2 linked regions of the Drosophila melanogaster genome follow. The gene in region 1 interacts genetically with each later gene. Each region holds a gene or a part of one and is shown on either strand. Other genes may lie near its edges.

Region 1 (6,474 bases):
TACACAGTTTTCGAAATGTTTTTTAATTGGCGTGCTTATTGTTTTTTGTGCTGATTACTTCCGTTTTTGCTTAACTGACGGGGGTGAGAGTGCGGAGAAGAGCAGCGCTACAGGAACTCCGTGACGTATGCTAGCAACAACGACTGACGAGCGAATGATGGCAGAAGGTCTACAAACTGGCCAACCAAGCTGGTTGCCCCCCTATCTGTGTGCCTCTGCTGTTCGCTGGTGTTGGTGCGCTACCCATGTATTGGTGGCTCTACAGCTGAGCCCGACACACTTACCCTGTTTCTGCCTCTTTCTGCTGCTGCGCATGTGCAAGAGAGGCTCTTCGGATGCTCTATCCAAATCGAAAGTAACTCAGCTATGTCACTGAAGTAAACACATTGTATTGTACATTAACAATACCTTATACTTTGGCTAAATAGCTAGGACATTTTTACAGTCTATCTCTTTGTGAAAACCTTTTTATCAAGGTCTTTAAAAAGTAAGTGCATTTAAGCCGAATTCTTTTAAACTGTTAAACAAACTATTATATGCATTGTCTTAGCTATTAGAGAAAACTATTGCATTTTGTACAATCATATATTTTTTATAAAATTCTATTTAGTGTATTAAAAATCTAGTCGGTGTAGAGCATTTCACAACGACTATATTTCCTATTTTAGTTACTTTTCGTATTTGGCAAGCCTCTCATTTTCTCTTCAGCAGCTGATTTTGTTTGTATACAAAAATCATATTGCAATATATATATACTGAAAAGGAGAGAGAACAAAAGGTAAATAAATACAGAGTGGAAAAGGGGAAGAAAGAGATGAATGGAAACGAAAATGGAAGTGGAAAAAAGCCACAAAAGCTTAATTTGTGGTTTTTAAAAAAGTTATAACTTATATGCATTAAAGGCAAAGTCATAAAAACTAGAATTTAATATGTTTTAATATATTTTGTGGTTTTTAAAAATTTATGTACCTGATAATTGATACAACAGCGCTACAGCATATTAGGGAAAATAAGGACATAAGGTGTAATTAAATAATATGACACATATTTCTATACAGATAAGTGTCTTTTACATAGAAAGTATATAAAACTATTTAAAAAACGAGAGTAAAAAAAAAACAATTTTTAATCTTGGCGGCTAAATAACTAAAAATAAGCCCTGGTCGATTAATTTATTTGCGCTATCGATAAGAGCCCGCTGAAAAAAATCGAAGAAAAATCGGGCAGTTTTCCAGCTCTAGCAAAAACACACGTGTTTACGTTTTTAGCAAATTGAACGCAATTTCTTTACTTCTTTGACTTTTTCTGGTATTACTTAATATCCGACTACCGAAATGGGCAGAAACAATCGCTCGAGAAAGCGTCGTGATGAAATGAATAAGATAAAGAAGGCGCGGTACGAAGCCAAGGAGTTAATTCGACTGAAGAAAACTCTGGGACTCCTAGATGCCGATGGAAATGAGATCATGAAGGATATAAGCGATGTGGTCGAAATTAAGACCGCCAAGGAGCTCAAAAGGGTTAGTTATGTGATATACCCACCTACAAATATACCAATTTACCTAATGTATTATATGTATTGTATGCATGTAATATGCGAAAAACCGGCTTAGTTTATCGCGATACTACCTTCATTCTTGTTACGTATTTTATATCCTTATTAAAGAAGAAATTGTATTCCTAAAACAGGAGGCCAAATCCAAGGAGGAGCAGGAATTGATCTACGAGCACCAGGAGAGTCTGGAGAAGGGCGAGAAAGTCAAGGTGACCAACGAGAACACGGGCGTGGAGCACATTTTCAACAGCAAGACCCTCAAAGATCAGTACGGCAATTATCCTGCGTGGTTCAAGAAGAAGAAGACCGCCAAGCGTCTAAGAAAGAAGCAGCACTCGCAGAAGAAGAACTTCAAACAGGCCTGGACCACGGTTAATGTTCCCCTATAAATCCGGGGCTGGGTTACCCATCTGGTATCTTATCGTAGTTTATAAGTCCTCGCTTAGTTTAGGAGATTTTGTAGGCTTTTTCTACAAAGATGTTATAGCTAAGAGTATATATTGCATATTAAAGCCCAAACAAGTTCTGAAAAACCCAGATATAGTCTGAACTTCTCAACATGGCAATCAAATAGTATCATTACTTTTTTAAAGCTACGAGTTATTATTGCATATTAAAGCCTTAAAATCTACACACATTTGCGGTGTCATGTGAACAACAAGTATCCAACGCTTAAACTAAAGTGCAGTTACATTATGCTCATTAGCTCTATTGCACGTGGAAAATCACAAAATGGGGATATTGAACTAAAATCGTGGTCAAATTTCTACTGAACGGAACAATAGCTGCGCACGCTGCAAATCACTCCGTTGGTGGCTGCCTCCAAACGTCGTGTGTTCGCCGACCATATGTGCGTGGTGGCCAGAGCCGTGGATGCGGATCGGGCACTTCCTCCTGCGGGTCATTCTGGCTTCTCTTTTAGCTCCAGTCTCTCAGTTGACTCGCTATCCGGTTCCACCTGCTCCTCCTCGATGTTGCCATGCATTACATTGGGATTGGCCTTTAGCACAGAGCCACCGGTGAAGCCGAGGATGCCACATCCTACTGCCGCCAATCCTCCAGCTTTCATGCCCGCCACCAGACCAATGGGTCCTCCCACACAGGTGCCCAGAAGAGCTCCGACTACGGGGTACATGGCCTTCTTGTAGGTGAGCGCCCGGCGCAGATTCAATTCGCCCTGCTGGACATTCTCCAGAGCTTCCTCCGCATTGTCTGCTATCTTTTCCACCGCCACTGATTGCTCTGCAGTCAGTTGACGCATTCCCTGGAACATCCCGTGCAGATCGTAGATCTCCTGTTGCAGGTTCTCCATCTGATCCAGGCAGGCTTGCCTCTGCGCCAATTGGTGTTCCTCCAGCTGGAAATTGAGTTGCAGCTGGGGCATGTGGCGGTGTGCGGGTAGACTGTTCATATCCACCTCCTGTGGCTGATTGTCCAGATCGTCGTCGTACTGAGAACTCAAAGTGGAGGTGGGTGATTTGAGTTGGAGCTCTAAAAATACAGTAGGTGTGTTGGTAAAGCCGAAAGAATTTAGATGGCATTTCAAACTTACCCGCAAATTCCTTCATGCCAGCGAAGGCAGTATCCCTGCCAGGTTTCATTAGGTCGTCGAAACGTTCCAGATCCTCCTCCCGTACTTTTTCTCGCAGTGCATCCATTTCCAGAAGTAGATTCTTGATCTGCTTAATGACCCTCATAGCATTGAGTTCCTCCTTTTTGATTTTTTGCCAGTCGCCGAGCGCCAGGCTTTTTTCTATATTGCTGCGATGGTTTTTCAGTAGGCTCAGATGGTGGGGCACCTATGAGTGTTAAGGAATTAGTTCCGCTCTTCAGAAGATATAGTAAATAACCTACCGCCACATCCTGAAACCTTTGGATGGAGACCTCCGCCTGTTTAAGTGGCAGTTTCTCATCGCGCGTCATCGTGAACTGAATACTTTGAACTCGCAGCGCTTTGATTTTTAATCAGTTTTAATTGTGGTAAAAGTGAAATCTGGGGGATCAGTTTCTGTAACACCCCCCGCCCCTTTTTAACGATGGACCTTGCTTAACAGATTTCCCTGGTTTTTCTGCGCAGTTTTTGCTTTGTTTTGCCAGTGACGTCACTGCTTGCTTTTCGGGATGTTTCCAGTGAGTAGTGCTTTGTTGTTGTGAATGAAACTACGGTGGCATGGTTCCAATCATGCTGGTCTTGTCCCCTATATTTATACTGATAATAATTCTATTGTGCAGTCCAATTATTTGTTTGTTATTGGTGATAGAGATGGCAATCAGTTCGATACTAGCGAATATTGCGCAGCCTTGCCCACACTCGATATTATTCTTACAGTTATCGATTGTCTCCGCTGGTGGGAATCCCCGCTAAAAGGTCAGCTTACAGCCGAGGTCATAAAAATAGTTGTTGACTCACCATTATTGCATTTAAAAGGAAAAATAACCAAATTTTATGTTGCGCGTTAAGTTGTAGCCAATATATAAAAGTAAATATTGCAGCACTTTACCTTTTTTTTCATGATAACTTCCAGATAAATAGATTTCCTTTGTTAAATATCCCATGAAAGACCCATTAAAATCAGAAAATGCATTTATTCGTGCAGTGATTTCTCATATACATTAAAATTATATACAGATACATGCAGAAACTAATCACTGCACCACCCACATGAAGAGCGGTGCAGAGTGCGGTGGTGCGCTTACGTCTAAAACTTCACATCTCGATACATTTATGACACACGTTCTCGCTTAAGTACTAATAGCCCGATCCGTGGGCTAATTCTACAGACTACAGAGGCACTCGACTCGCATTCGGGAATGGCTTACAAGCAGGAGCATCTAGCTACACATGAACGGAGTGGTCAATTAAGTTAACTAACATTTAATAATAGCGTGGGGAAATGCAGTTCTGTTTAGGGGCAATTGGCATTGGGGCCATTCCGGCACTTCAGCAGCAGGTTCAGCATACCCTCCAGCTTGTTCGTCCGGGACTCTGTCTTGTAGAGATTCGTCTGCAGTCGACTGACATCCTGAGCCTGCTTTTCCTGAGGGCATACGAAGTAATCGTTAAAGTATGAATATTCAAATATAGAAGTTCAACTCTAATCCTTACCAGCGTGCTTAGCCGACTCTTGAGTGTGTCCACCACACTGTAGGTGGCCTGCAGCGACTTTTGCAGCTCGTTCGTGTGCACTCGCTCATTGGCCAAGGACTTTTCGATCTTCTGGAGTCGCGTGGCCACCTCCGCGTCCGTATCATCGATATCGTTCTCCAGATCCCGAGCCTCGAACGCATCGTCCGCATTCGTGGACACCTTCTTGCAGCTCTGCTGATCCGACTGGAGAACGAATCCCTGACGGCAGCGGCAGAAGTAAGATCCATGCGTATTGATGCACTGTTGATCGCATGGCTTCTCCGTCTGGCACTCGTCCACATCCTGCTCGCAGAAACGTCCTGTGAAACCAGTTGGACAGCTGCAGGTGCTAGGAGCCGTACAATTGCCACCGTTTTGGCAGCGCGCGGAGCAAATAGCTGTAAATAATTAGAAGATAAAAATATTCCAAATTCATTGCAATCTATGTATTTTGTTTAAGACTCACGTTTCATGCACGAATCCGACCTTGGGTTTTCCCGGCTCCATCCCGTGCAGCAGTCGTAGGTCATCTGCTGGGCGGTCTTGTGATCGATGACGTCCCTGTAGGCCTGCTCGTGGACCACCTGCACCCTGGTGCACTTCTGGCCACTAAAGGTGGGCGGCTGGCAGGGCGTGGCCACGTGCTTCCAGGTGGGACGACTGTAGACCTCCGTTCGCTTCACGGGCATCGTAACCGTTCGCTGTTGCATGCAAATGTGCCGCCTGCAATGAGTAGCAAGGAAAACAAACCAGAGCGAGGTGTGAATCGAATAGGATTGGAATGGATTCGAGCGGTGTGGCTGACCCAAATCAGCGGCTCATCATCTGCAAAAGTGAAACTGACTTTTCCAGACGACTTCGCCCAATTACAGTCATAACGACACAGAGCGGCCAACAGGTTGTTTTTAGGAGTGGGATCTGGGCAATTGTCACATGTGTCTGGAAGTGCCAGCGGATTGGATTGGATTGGATTCGATTGGACTGGACTACGATATTAGCGTGTTCGCGTATCTGCGATGACAAACACGACACGCTCCCAGCCGATGACTTGCAGCCATGTCAGCCATGTCATTTGTTTGCCCGCCACTCGGACTCGGATATGGAGGAGCAGCCAGATGGCAGTTTGGCAGCCTGGCAGCCTATCAGCCTGGCAACCAAGTGCTCCAGTTCACGCAACCGACAGTTCAGTGGCTGTCAAACCAAATTTGAAGGCTTGTCAAACTGTTGACAGAAATATCACAAGGATATTCCATATTAGTTGTTATCCAATTCGGTTGCCTTGTGCAACAAATTCAAATTTAGCAATTTTTTCCAGCGAAAAATGTATGTACTTCTAACTCAAAAAAAGGTAACCAATTTAATGTTTTAAAGGATAAAAATCAGACTAAAAGTAATTTTTTTAAAATGTTTATATATTAGCCAATATTTCTATTGAACATAATATTTTCAGCATTTAGATCCTTACCAGGAATTTTTCGGAACTAACGCTGTAGCCGTTGTTTTATTACAAATTTAAGCCCATAAGAGCATTTGAAGTTTTTACTACTCAAGTACAATCCCAACTTCACACTTTATAATAAATCTTTATATATGACCCTGTGCCTCTCAAACCCAGCCAAAATCCAATAACCGAAGTGCCAATGCTCCTAAGACCTTTGGCCCCCAAGCAGTCAAACATAAAAAGCGCTGATAATAAGCGGTTTTTGATTTTGGTTGCCAAAAAACGAGGCAAACTGGCCCAAAAGCGAGGTGCATCCCATAAATTGGCAGGCTGTGGGGCTGCGAATAAACG
Region 2 (9,334 bases), on another chromosome or scaffold:
CTTCTTGTCCTTGCGATCGAACTTGTCCTTACGATCGTACTTGTCCGTGCGCTCAGATTTGTCATTCTTGTCCTTGGTATCCAGTTTAGCGCGCTTGTTCTTGTATTTCATTCCGCCGCCCAAACTAGGCCGCTTTCGGGAGGACTTCGCTTCCATTTTGAACAGTTCTGCAAAGGAAACATTAGTTTATATTCTACGCAGCATGTAGCACAACTCACCTTCGTCTGGTTCCTCGCCGACTTCCTCCTTGTAGTACTCTGCATCATCCTCGGGATCGCTGTCAGTCCGTCCCTCTGCCGCCCTCTTGGCAGCCCATTTTTCATCCTTCTTAAGCTTCAAGTTGCGGGCACGGTTCTCTGCCTGCTCCTTCTTGCGCTGCTCCTTCTGCTTTCGCTTCTTTTCGACCAGCTTGCGCAGGGTTTCCTTTTCGTCCTCTGTCTTGACCACATGGTCGTGATACAGTACTTCGCCCGTCAGAAGGCCCTCTTCTATTTTGATGAGCTGCATGGTTAGTCGAGGTCCGATCTCGTGTAGCTTTATGGAGCTCTTTTTGTCCTCCAAGTTGCCCTTGCTTTTAAGAGTCTGTGCCAGCACCACATGTGATTGCTCATCATCTTCGGCCTCTGATTCGGAGGCATAGCCGTCCCTGAAAATCAATATTATGATTATTTGATGGAATGAGAACAAACGGTCATTTCCTACTTGGTCACAAAGTCCACGACTTCGTTGCACTTGCCCAGATTGGGTACCGTTCCTTTGACGATTTTCTGGACCGCCCGCTTTAAGCCAACCGGCACCACCTGCACGGAGTAGTGCCGCATCTCGACCAGCTTCGTGTCCGGATTGTAGGAGAACAGGACGCAGCGACGAATGGTGCCGATATTAACCGTGGCCAAGTTAATTGAGGGGAACATGTTTTGGAACGTGGTGGCCATCAGCTTAAGGTGCTTGCCATCGCCACTGAAGTTGTTCATGATGACGAGCGGAGCGTGCTTGAAGTGATCGTTGTCAATCATCTGCTTTTTGCTTAGCGAGATCACATCTCTGGCCAGGGTGAACTGGTGAACCTGACAGAGAATAACTTCGCGGTAAAATATCCAGTATAAACTAAGCGATGAAACAAACAAACCTTGAAAGTCAGGGAAGGACCGCGCGGCAAGCGGACCACTTTGAAGGACAGCTGCGTGGAGGCCTTGTTGAAGATGCCCATGTGCGAGACGTGGAAGAAGCTGCTCAGGCTGACAAAGTCCTTGATGCGGTTCATCCGCTTCTCGCGCAGATTGCTGGCCGTAAAGGGCTCCATAATGCGGCGGAAGTCCAGGGTGAGGTCCGTGATGTACGGACAGGCGAGGCCGCGATGGATGACGAAGGAGTGCGGCGCCTCCACGATCTCGCTCGGCTCGCTGGCCTTGAAGGCCGCCGTGCGCGTCTTCGGATGCACTTTCTTCTTACCGCCCATGTTTCAATGTTTTTGTTCACTTTTCTCCCGCACGTGTATGGATCAGTGTGGCTGCTCGCGCGGAAAATACCAAACACCCACTCCGACGTCTGCCTTTGGTCACTCTAATCCCATTTTAAATTTCGATTTTCCGCCCAATTGAAAGCACTTCTGTTTTATTTAAATTATATTTATTTAATCACACTTAACATAGCAAACACAAATGATGTTATTTCGTTTCATTTATGCATTTAAAGTTTTACAACTGTTTTTGTTTGATTTCTCTTTATCAGCTAGTTTTACCAAGTGGCCAATCGTTTAAAATGTTGCGAGAAACCGAAGAAGAAAATCCGAGCTGCAGTGCTGTGGTAATGAATTTGCGTTTAAGTCGAAGAATTTCCGGTTGTTTGTTGTTGTTCTGCTCGCGAAATTACAACTATATATTTATGTTGCGAAAAATTAATAATATTAATATTTTAATATTAGCATATATGTATATTTATATAAATTATAGTTCTACAGCTTAAACTGAATTTGGAGTGTTTAGTTTTGCTTGCTTTCTTTCCGCGGCGGTCGATTTATGCGATACTCATGGATCTGTATATATATAAAACTTCAGTTTAAACCGCAGTTAACTACAGCCGGATGTTGTTGCTTTCGATTCTTTTGCTGCTGCTGCTGCTTCTGATGATGGTGGTGGTGTTGGTGGTGGAGAGTGGCGGCTCAGATTTGAATTATCAATTTATGCGCACATGACAAACTGTGGCTGACAAACGCATAGACATCTTGTGCGGTCCATCGGGTGTACGCTGCTCCTGATCTTGGTGTTGCAGTTCTGGCCGCTGCTGCTCCTCTTGTAGTCGTAGTTGTAATTGCTGTTGCTTCTGTTTATGTTGCTGTTCTGGCGGTTGCGGGGAATAGCGAAAATTGCTTGGGGCGGTCACTGACAGCACTGTTTGCGCACATCGGCGGTGACAGTCGGCTTTACGTCGATGGGCTCCACGTTCGACGGGCGGATGACGTCGCCTTCCGGCGGATCTCTGATCTGTTTCTGCGACACAATGCGATAGATCTCTGAAACGGGATTACGAGACATCATTAGTCGTGCTTCGTTATCATTAATCTATTGACTTTCAATGAAGCGTTTAATCTACAGTATTTAAATATTCTTAAACGATCGATAATTTGAAAGCAGACTAGCTAAAATATCCTGAACGACCCACCTGTGAGTATGTTCTGGAATGCCGTTTCAACGTTCGTTGAGTCGAGGGCCGAGGTTTCTATGAAACTCAAGCCGTTGCGCTCGGCAAACAGCTTCGCCTCGTCCGTGGGCACGGAGCGCAAGTGCCGCAAGTCGGACTTGTTGCCCACCAGCATGATGACGATGTTCTGGTCGGCATGGTCGCGCAATTCCCGCAGCCACCGCTCCACGTTCTCGTAGGTCAGATGCTTGGCAATGTCATAGACGAGCAGGGCCCCCACGGCACCGCGGTAGTAGGCAGAGGTGATGGCGCGATAACGCTCCTGGCCGGCCGTATCCCAGATTTGCGCTTTAATTGTTTTGCCATCGACCTGCGTTGGATGCACAAGAAGGATGAAACAAAGGACAGCATTAGAATGGTGCCAGTAATTGGCAATTTCGCCACGAAATGCCTGCGGCGCATTCGCTTTGAAAATTAATATACAAGCACTGGCATTCAGTATTCACACATAACCAACATAAATTAGAGCTTATGGATAAGCTTTTAACTCTAGTAAGAGAACCCAATTTTTGAAATTTCTTACACTAGTTAGAAAAAACGCAAGTAGCGTAAGTTATATTCATTGAACCCATTTGATATACTAAATATTAAGATGACCTACTAAGCTACTTCGAAAAGATGGCACAAAGTATTGTTTAACACAAATCCTTATACATACGTAATATATAATTGTTATTGACCACATAAATTTATTATTTCAGCACAAGTGACAACTATGATGTCAACATTTTGGCTAATCCCGTAGGATGGCTTTTGAAATTATGCAAGAAAGCCAATTGGCAATCCATTATTTAGTGAAATTCTCGACACTTACTCAAATTGAACAAACTTTTCCCCCCAATTTTCCGATAGACGCCTCAACTACGTGTCCTCCCACCGAAACGCACACGCAAGTTCACCCGTGACTTCCCCCACTGTGGGTGCGGTGCGGTAGATGTGTGGGGGTGGAGCTCCATGGGCCACTCCACCCTCGAATTCTTGGCCAGCGTACTCACCTCTATGCTGCGCGTTGCAAACTCAACGCCAATCGTCGACTTGGACTCCAAGTTGAATTCATTGCGCGTGAAACGTGAGAGCAAATTACTTTTGCCAACACCGGAGTCACCGATAAGGACAACTGCAAAGGATTAGAGGGAATTAGTGACATCGACATTGGCATTGGATAATCGAAGACCCCCAGTTGCATAATTTATGTGGGTGTGTGGTGTGGCGTGGCGTGGCATGGCCCCTGTCTTGTGTTTTACGGCCGGACAGAATGGTCGCTGGTGGCCCGGCTAGGTCATGTCCTCCTTTCGCCGCTGGCACGGCGCACCAAGGTCAGCGAGTACATAAAACCGCCATGCTCGGGGGATTTCAGGCCATGGAAAGAAATGTTTTATGATTGGGCCAGTCGACGTTAGGGAGTTCGTGTTATTGTGCTTCATTGCCGATAGCAAACATTTCTTGGATAATTGAGTGGCGGATATTTGAGGGAGCAAACAAGCATCCCAAGTTGATATGCTACCCGATAAAAACTATCCACTGACCTTTTTACGACTCCATTTCTTTTTGATAAACTTTCTTATGTGCGGCCAGAGTTGTTGGCTATAATATATATTAACTGATATCTAGACACTGTGTTTACTGACTGTCTGTCTATTAGTTTCCATTTTTGACACCCTTTTCGGACATTGTTGATTCAGCATGTTTGCTAATCCATTCAGAAAACAACAACTATAACTCATCAAACACCTTTTCGCTCTATCGCTATGGTCATCGCTGCACGGAGAAAATTCAAATAGTAAAATGGTATCATATGAACACTGATTCTTGAGTTCGAAGTTTCGATTGCAATGCCATTAAGATAGGAACTAAATATTTGAAACGACTTTTGAGCTAAGTCCAAGTTTTTGACTTAATTTAGATAGCTAAATTAGAGGGTATAGGGTTTTCTTTCAGTGTGGACAGCTGGGAGCAGCGTGGTTACAGTTATCAGCGAGAGAGCTGAGTCACTTTGTTTTCTACTCTCTTTCTCAGCGCTAATAACGATCTTTAAAGAGAAATTGCACTTAGTTAAGCGGATGCGATGAGAAATTAAAAGGGGAGGAGTGGTAATCGACGGTCATTACTTAGTAGTGGGATTGGCTCGAATAACCCGAAACGGCCCATTTTCAGTTATGTGATTATGCGCTTATCGGTGAGTGGAATTCTTCAGCAGTTATTGGCTGTGAGTCATGTCCGTTTAATATTGTTTCATGTGTGAAATTTGAGGCCTCATCATGCATACCGCACACTGACGCATTATTATGATGACTTTTTTTTTAACTTTTTGTATACTTGACCCAAAAAATACGGCAGATTAAGTTTTAAATATTTTTTTAATGACATTCAACAGTTGCTCAGCTGTGATAGCTAGCAGAGATTTCCAAGCGCAATTGGAATTTATGGCGTAGTAGCAAACGAAGGGAACAAAGAAGAGCTGAGAATTTGTGACCTCTGTTCATACATATCTACACATAAACGGGGGAAGATGCGGGATAAAAGTCTTGTTTTCTACCTGCAAATACATCATTTTGCTCTACTGTGCTTCAAACTTTCAATCGAGAGCGGGTGAAAAAGAGAGCGCGCGTGAGAGAGAGCTACTAAACGAAGTTACAAGAAACCATTGCAAAAGCCAGCTGTACAGAAATCATAATACCCACACTCTCGCTCTATTTACTGGATATCTAATCACTTTAGCATTTCGAGTGGGTGGGCAAGCCTTAAACCTACTTTACAGAGCGAGCGATTATAAATACGATCTGCTTGGCTTTTGTATGCAACGTGGCGAGACCAACGGCACTGTAATGACAAAACAAGCAGTTAACGGCAAAGTACGCGTACTCCAGTCCGAAAGAGTACCCCAAAGAGATGGAGATAGGCAGAGTGAGAGCGGGAGAGCCACCAAAGGGCATCCAACTGCAGCAGTAGCAACAACAACAAACTCGGGGGGCGTACTTCTTATTTTGGGAATTAATGACACTCACGCAAACAAACACACCACATACCATCACATGAACTTTGGGCTCTTCGAGTGCACTTTTTGTTATTCTCCAATTAGTTTCAATTAGTGCTATTGAACCACTGTCTCTCACGGCAGGGAGAGGAGAGCCTGGAAGTGCGGCTCCTCCCCTCCTGATCAACCTTCCGCGATCTTCGACCAGCGGCTAGTATCATGTTTATAATTACCTTTGAACAGATAATCGTACTCGTCTTCTCTTGCACCCATTTTGCTCAATTTGTTTTGCTATCGCTCGCTCGGTTCGATATCCTTTGGAAATCCAGTTCCGTCCTTTTTGTTTTGTGTGTGCGGGTGCTAAACGAAATCCAATAATCCCTGCGCGCCGCCGATTTCTTTAATGCGTTTGTCGTCGGCTCACACACTTTACACTTTTATTTGCAGTTGTAGTTGTAAAGAAAGAGAAAAGTGTATATATCAGTATTTAAGTGGCGAAATCGGTTGCTCTTCCAGCTCGGATGCGTTCGAAAATGCTGGCAGGACTTTTCCGGCAATTGGAGCAGTATTAATTGGAGATTTGCAGCTGCTTGCAGCGCATTTATTTGCAATTTTCTCTTACACGAAAACTTAGTCACTCCCAATAACGTCACGTTATATTTCCAACGAGACTAGAGATGTTGAAAAATATCGGTACATCGACATTATTTCGGCGATACTTATCGATTTTCTTAATGGCGATGTAAGGCGATAGTACAATGTCACTTCTATTTTTGTTTATATGAACATTGTTTTATACTCAAAAGCTTTAGAATTAGAATTAAATTTTTTCATAATTAAAACACATTAGGTCTAGAAAATAAATCTAATGTTTGTTTCCTATTTAAAAAACTTATTTGTTTTATTTTAAAACACCAACATACTTATATCATTATCGATGTTTTCACATCGACTTGCATCACTAAATTAACGAGATGGATGTTTTAGAGTTACCAGACGGTACGACGAATTATCATGAACTGCTCTCGTTTCATCCCGACAAGCCTATCGTATTTTAAAAAAGCTGAACACATTTTCTAGGGATTATCCCTAGCCCATTTAACTTATTTCCAACTCAAAATGTCTTGAATACTTAAAACGTTCCAACCTAAACAGAATCGTTCTCCCAGTAGCAGTAACTGTTTCTAATATTATCTTATTAAAAAAATTAATTAAATAGAAAACATTTCGATCCCAAGTAAAAACCCCCTGCTTACAAATCAGAGTAAAAATGTGTTTATTTTAATATAAAATACTTGTAAAAAACGATAAATTAAGTATAATGTGCAGCTAATACTTCCGTTGATCTCTAGTGAGTTTAAAAACTCTATTCCTATTGCACTTAAATGCGAGCGCGTTGCAAGGCCATGGCTGGATAAATGAGCAGAAGTCCGCCGGCTATATAGGTGATCCTGGAGCCAACGCACCAGAAGGCTATTAAGGATTAAAGAGTTTAGAAAAGGTATAATCCTAAGACAGCTGAGGAGCTCACCAATGCATCCCACCACGGGGCCCAGAGCTCGAGCCAAAGCTCCCAGTGAGCGGAATATGCCCAGTACTGAACCCTTCTGGTCATCGTTTCCGTATTTGGATACGAGGGTGGTCAGACAGGTGACAGCGAAGGCTGTGGAGATTGCGAACAGGGTCATGCCGGCGTACAGCATCCGACTGCCCTCGGCTAGGCCGACTACTACGAAGGCGGGTACAATCAGGTACAAACTGAAGATGGCATAGCCTTTGATCTTCGCCTCGGGCAGCCGTCGGACCACCGATCCCTGCAGCAAAGTCATGATTACACCTAGAAAAAGACACAAATTTGATAGGGAATATTGTAGATTATCAACTTGCTCCATACCCGTTGTCAAAAACATCTTCGCCTGATCCATCGAAGTGTAACCGAATTTGTGGTACATCAGAAATGTGACGGTGAACTCCAAGCCGGAATACAGAAAGAGATACAAGAAGTATACCAGGCCAATGGATCGCAGTGCCGCAATGTCTTTCTTAGGCACATTTTTGATGGCAGCAAATCTGTCAGTGGGAGAATTCTTTTGAAATATGATTGTAAAATCCAGACATAATCATTGGTAATAATCTTCTAGCTAACTGGACTCAATTCCCTGTAACTACAATTAATCAAAAGCAATCTAGAATTTACTAACTGATAAGGCAATCAAACAAACGTGTCCGAGAACCCGGCATGATAATAGTGTCTATCAAACCAGTCAGGCAAGTCCGGGTGGCTTGCAGTTCTCACCGTATGACGATTTCGATTTGATCACACGACAGGTTTTCGAGACATGCTAATTAAAACATTGAATTACCTAAATATGGCCGAAAAATTGAGCAACTGCAGGCCATAAGACAGTGCAGATGATATCTCCTTAACACGTTTCTCCTGCGAAAAGGTCAAACAATTAATGGTGTTGGGAATATATTTAATTTAGCCAACCGTACGCACCTTGGGCAACGTTTCCCGCAGACAGCAGGCCAGGACCACAAGATCTCCAACTGCCAGGCCAAACGCCAGCAGAGAGGGCAACACAAACCAAGTACTTCCACTTTTATCGGAGAATATGGCGAACAGGGCTCCAATCATGGGCCCCACAATAAAGCCCAGCGAGAAGGCCACACCCACAAGGGCCATACCGCGTCCACGGGTCTTAACGCTGGACACATCCGTAATGACGGACATGCACAGGGATATGTTGCCCTTGCTAATTCCGCCCACGAAGCGGGCCAAAACGAACAGGGCAAAGTTGCTGGAGCAGGCCCAGATCAGATAGGATAACGCAATACCACTCTATAGATGAAAGAAGACGTAGCTTAAGGAAGGTTTACTTATTTGTGGCTTAGCTAAGGAGTTTGAATTTGACGAATTCCACGCTTTTGGATTGAACTCGTAATAGCATGAAATGTTGACCAAGCCAAAAAGAAAACTAACAAGACTAGTTTAGTGTTTAGTGCACATTAAAGCATTGAGCACTGGGATTACCTACCGCACAAGCCAGCAGGACTGGTTTCCGTCCGTAGTAGTCCGAGAGTCCTCCGACAATCGGACTGGCCACGAACTGCAGGAAGCTGAACATGGAGCCGAGAAAGCCTCCGAATAGCACCGATATGTAGCGATCCGGGGCGCCCAGGAGCTGCTGGAACCAGCGCACCCGATCCGTGAGCACGGCATACAAGCCGGAGCTGTCGTTCTGGCGATAGTGCTCCAACAGCGAGGGCAGCAGCGGCAGAATGATGGTGAAGGCCAGTAAGTCGAAGAGCAGCGATACGAAGATTATGTATATCATGGGATCACTCTTCTCCGGCTTTCCATTCTCCGATGCTTCCTTATCCAGCGCTTTATTGTTGTTGTGATGGTGGCTTCCGGTTTGGCTGTGGCTTTGCTTCTCCATGGCAGCGGTTCCATTGTGGCGACTCCGTAGGTCGGCCATCTTTGCTGATTTCGGGTGTTTAGCTTGTGCCGTGATTGCGTGCGTGTACGGGTGTTACTGCAACATAACTGTATCAACGGAACCACAACTCCACCGACAACTCTTGGCCCTCTCGAGAAGCGGCCAGCCAAAGCGAAGCCAAAGTGAAAGCTGAACAGCAACAGCTGTTCCAAGGCGG

Evidence for each region. Genes that interact genetically often act in the same process or in processes that back each other up.
Region 2: of Syx17 (region 1) and Rab11, changing one suppresses a phenotype caused by changing the other (phenotypic suppression), as found in Drosophila melanogaster (one study listed by BioGRID).

The regions. Positions count from the first base shown.
Region 1 is NT_037436.4:4,400,831-4,407,304, reverse strand, and holds Syx17 (syntaxin 17), read right to left. Parts: upstream 3,819-6,474; 5' UTR 3,479-3,818; coding exon 3,410-3,478; intron 3,355-3,409; coding exon 3,108-3,354; intron 3,047-3,107; coding exon 2,457-3,046; coding exon of another isoform or gene 2,322-2,456; 3' UTR 2,137-2,321; downstream 1-2,136. Other genes in the region: CG15019 (uncharacterized protein), read left to right, coding at 1,335-1,520, 1,690-1,944; slow (slowdown), read right to left, coding at 4,462-4,593, 4,662-5,080, 5,149-5,405.
Region 2 is NT_033777.3:21,108,429-21,117,762, reverse strand, and holds Rab11 (Rab11), read right to left. Parts: upstream 6,356-9,334; 5' UTR 5,948-6,355; coding exon 5,908-5,947; intron 3,818-5,907; coding exon 3,696-3,817; intron 3,011-3,695; coding exon 2,662-3,010; intron 2,513-2,661; coding exon 2,379-2,512; 3' UTR 1,617-2,378; downstream 1-1,616. Other genes in the region: ppan (peter pan), read right to left, coding at 1-167, 219-646, 703-1,067, 1,130-1,459; rtet (tetracycline resistance), read right to left, coding at 7,056-7,147, 7,206-7,511, 7,569-7,744, 8,038-8,111, 8,175-8,516, 8,713-9,156.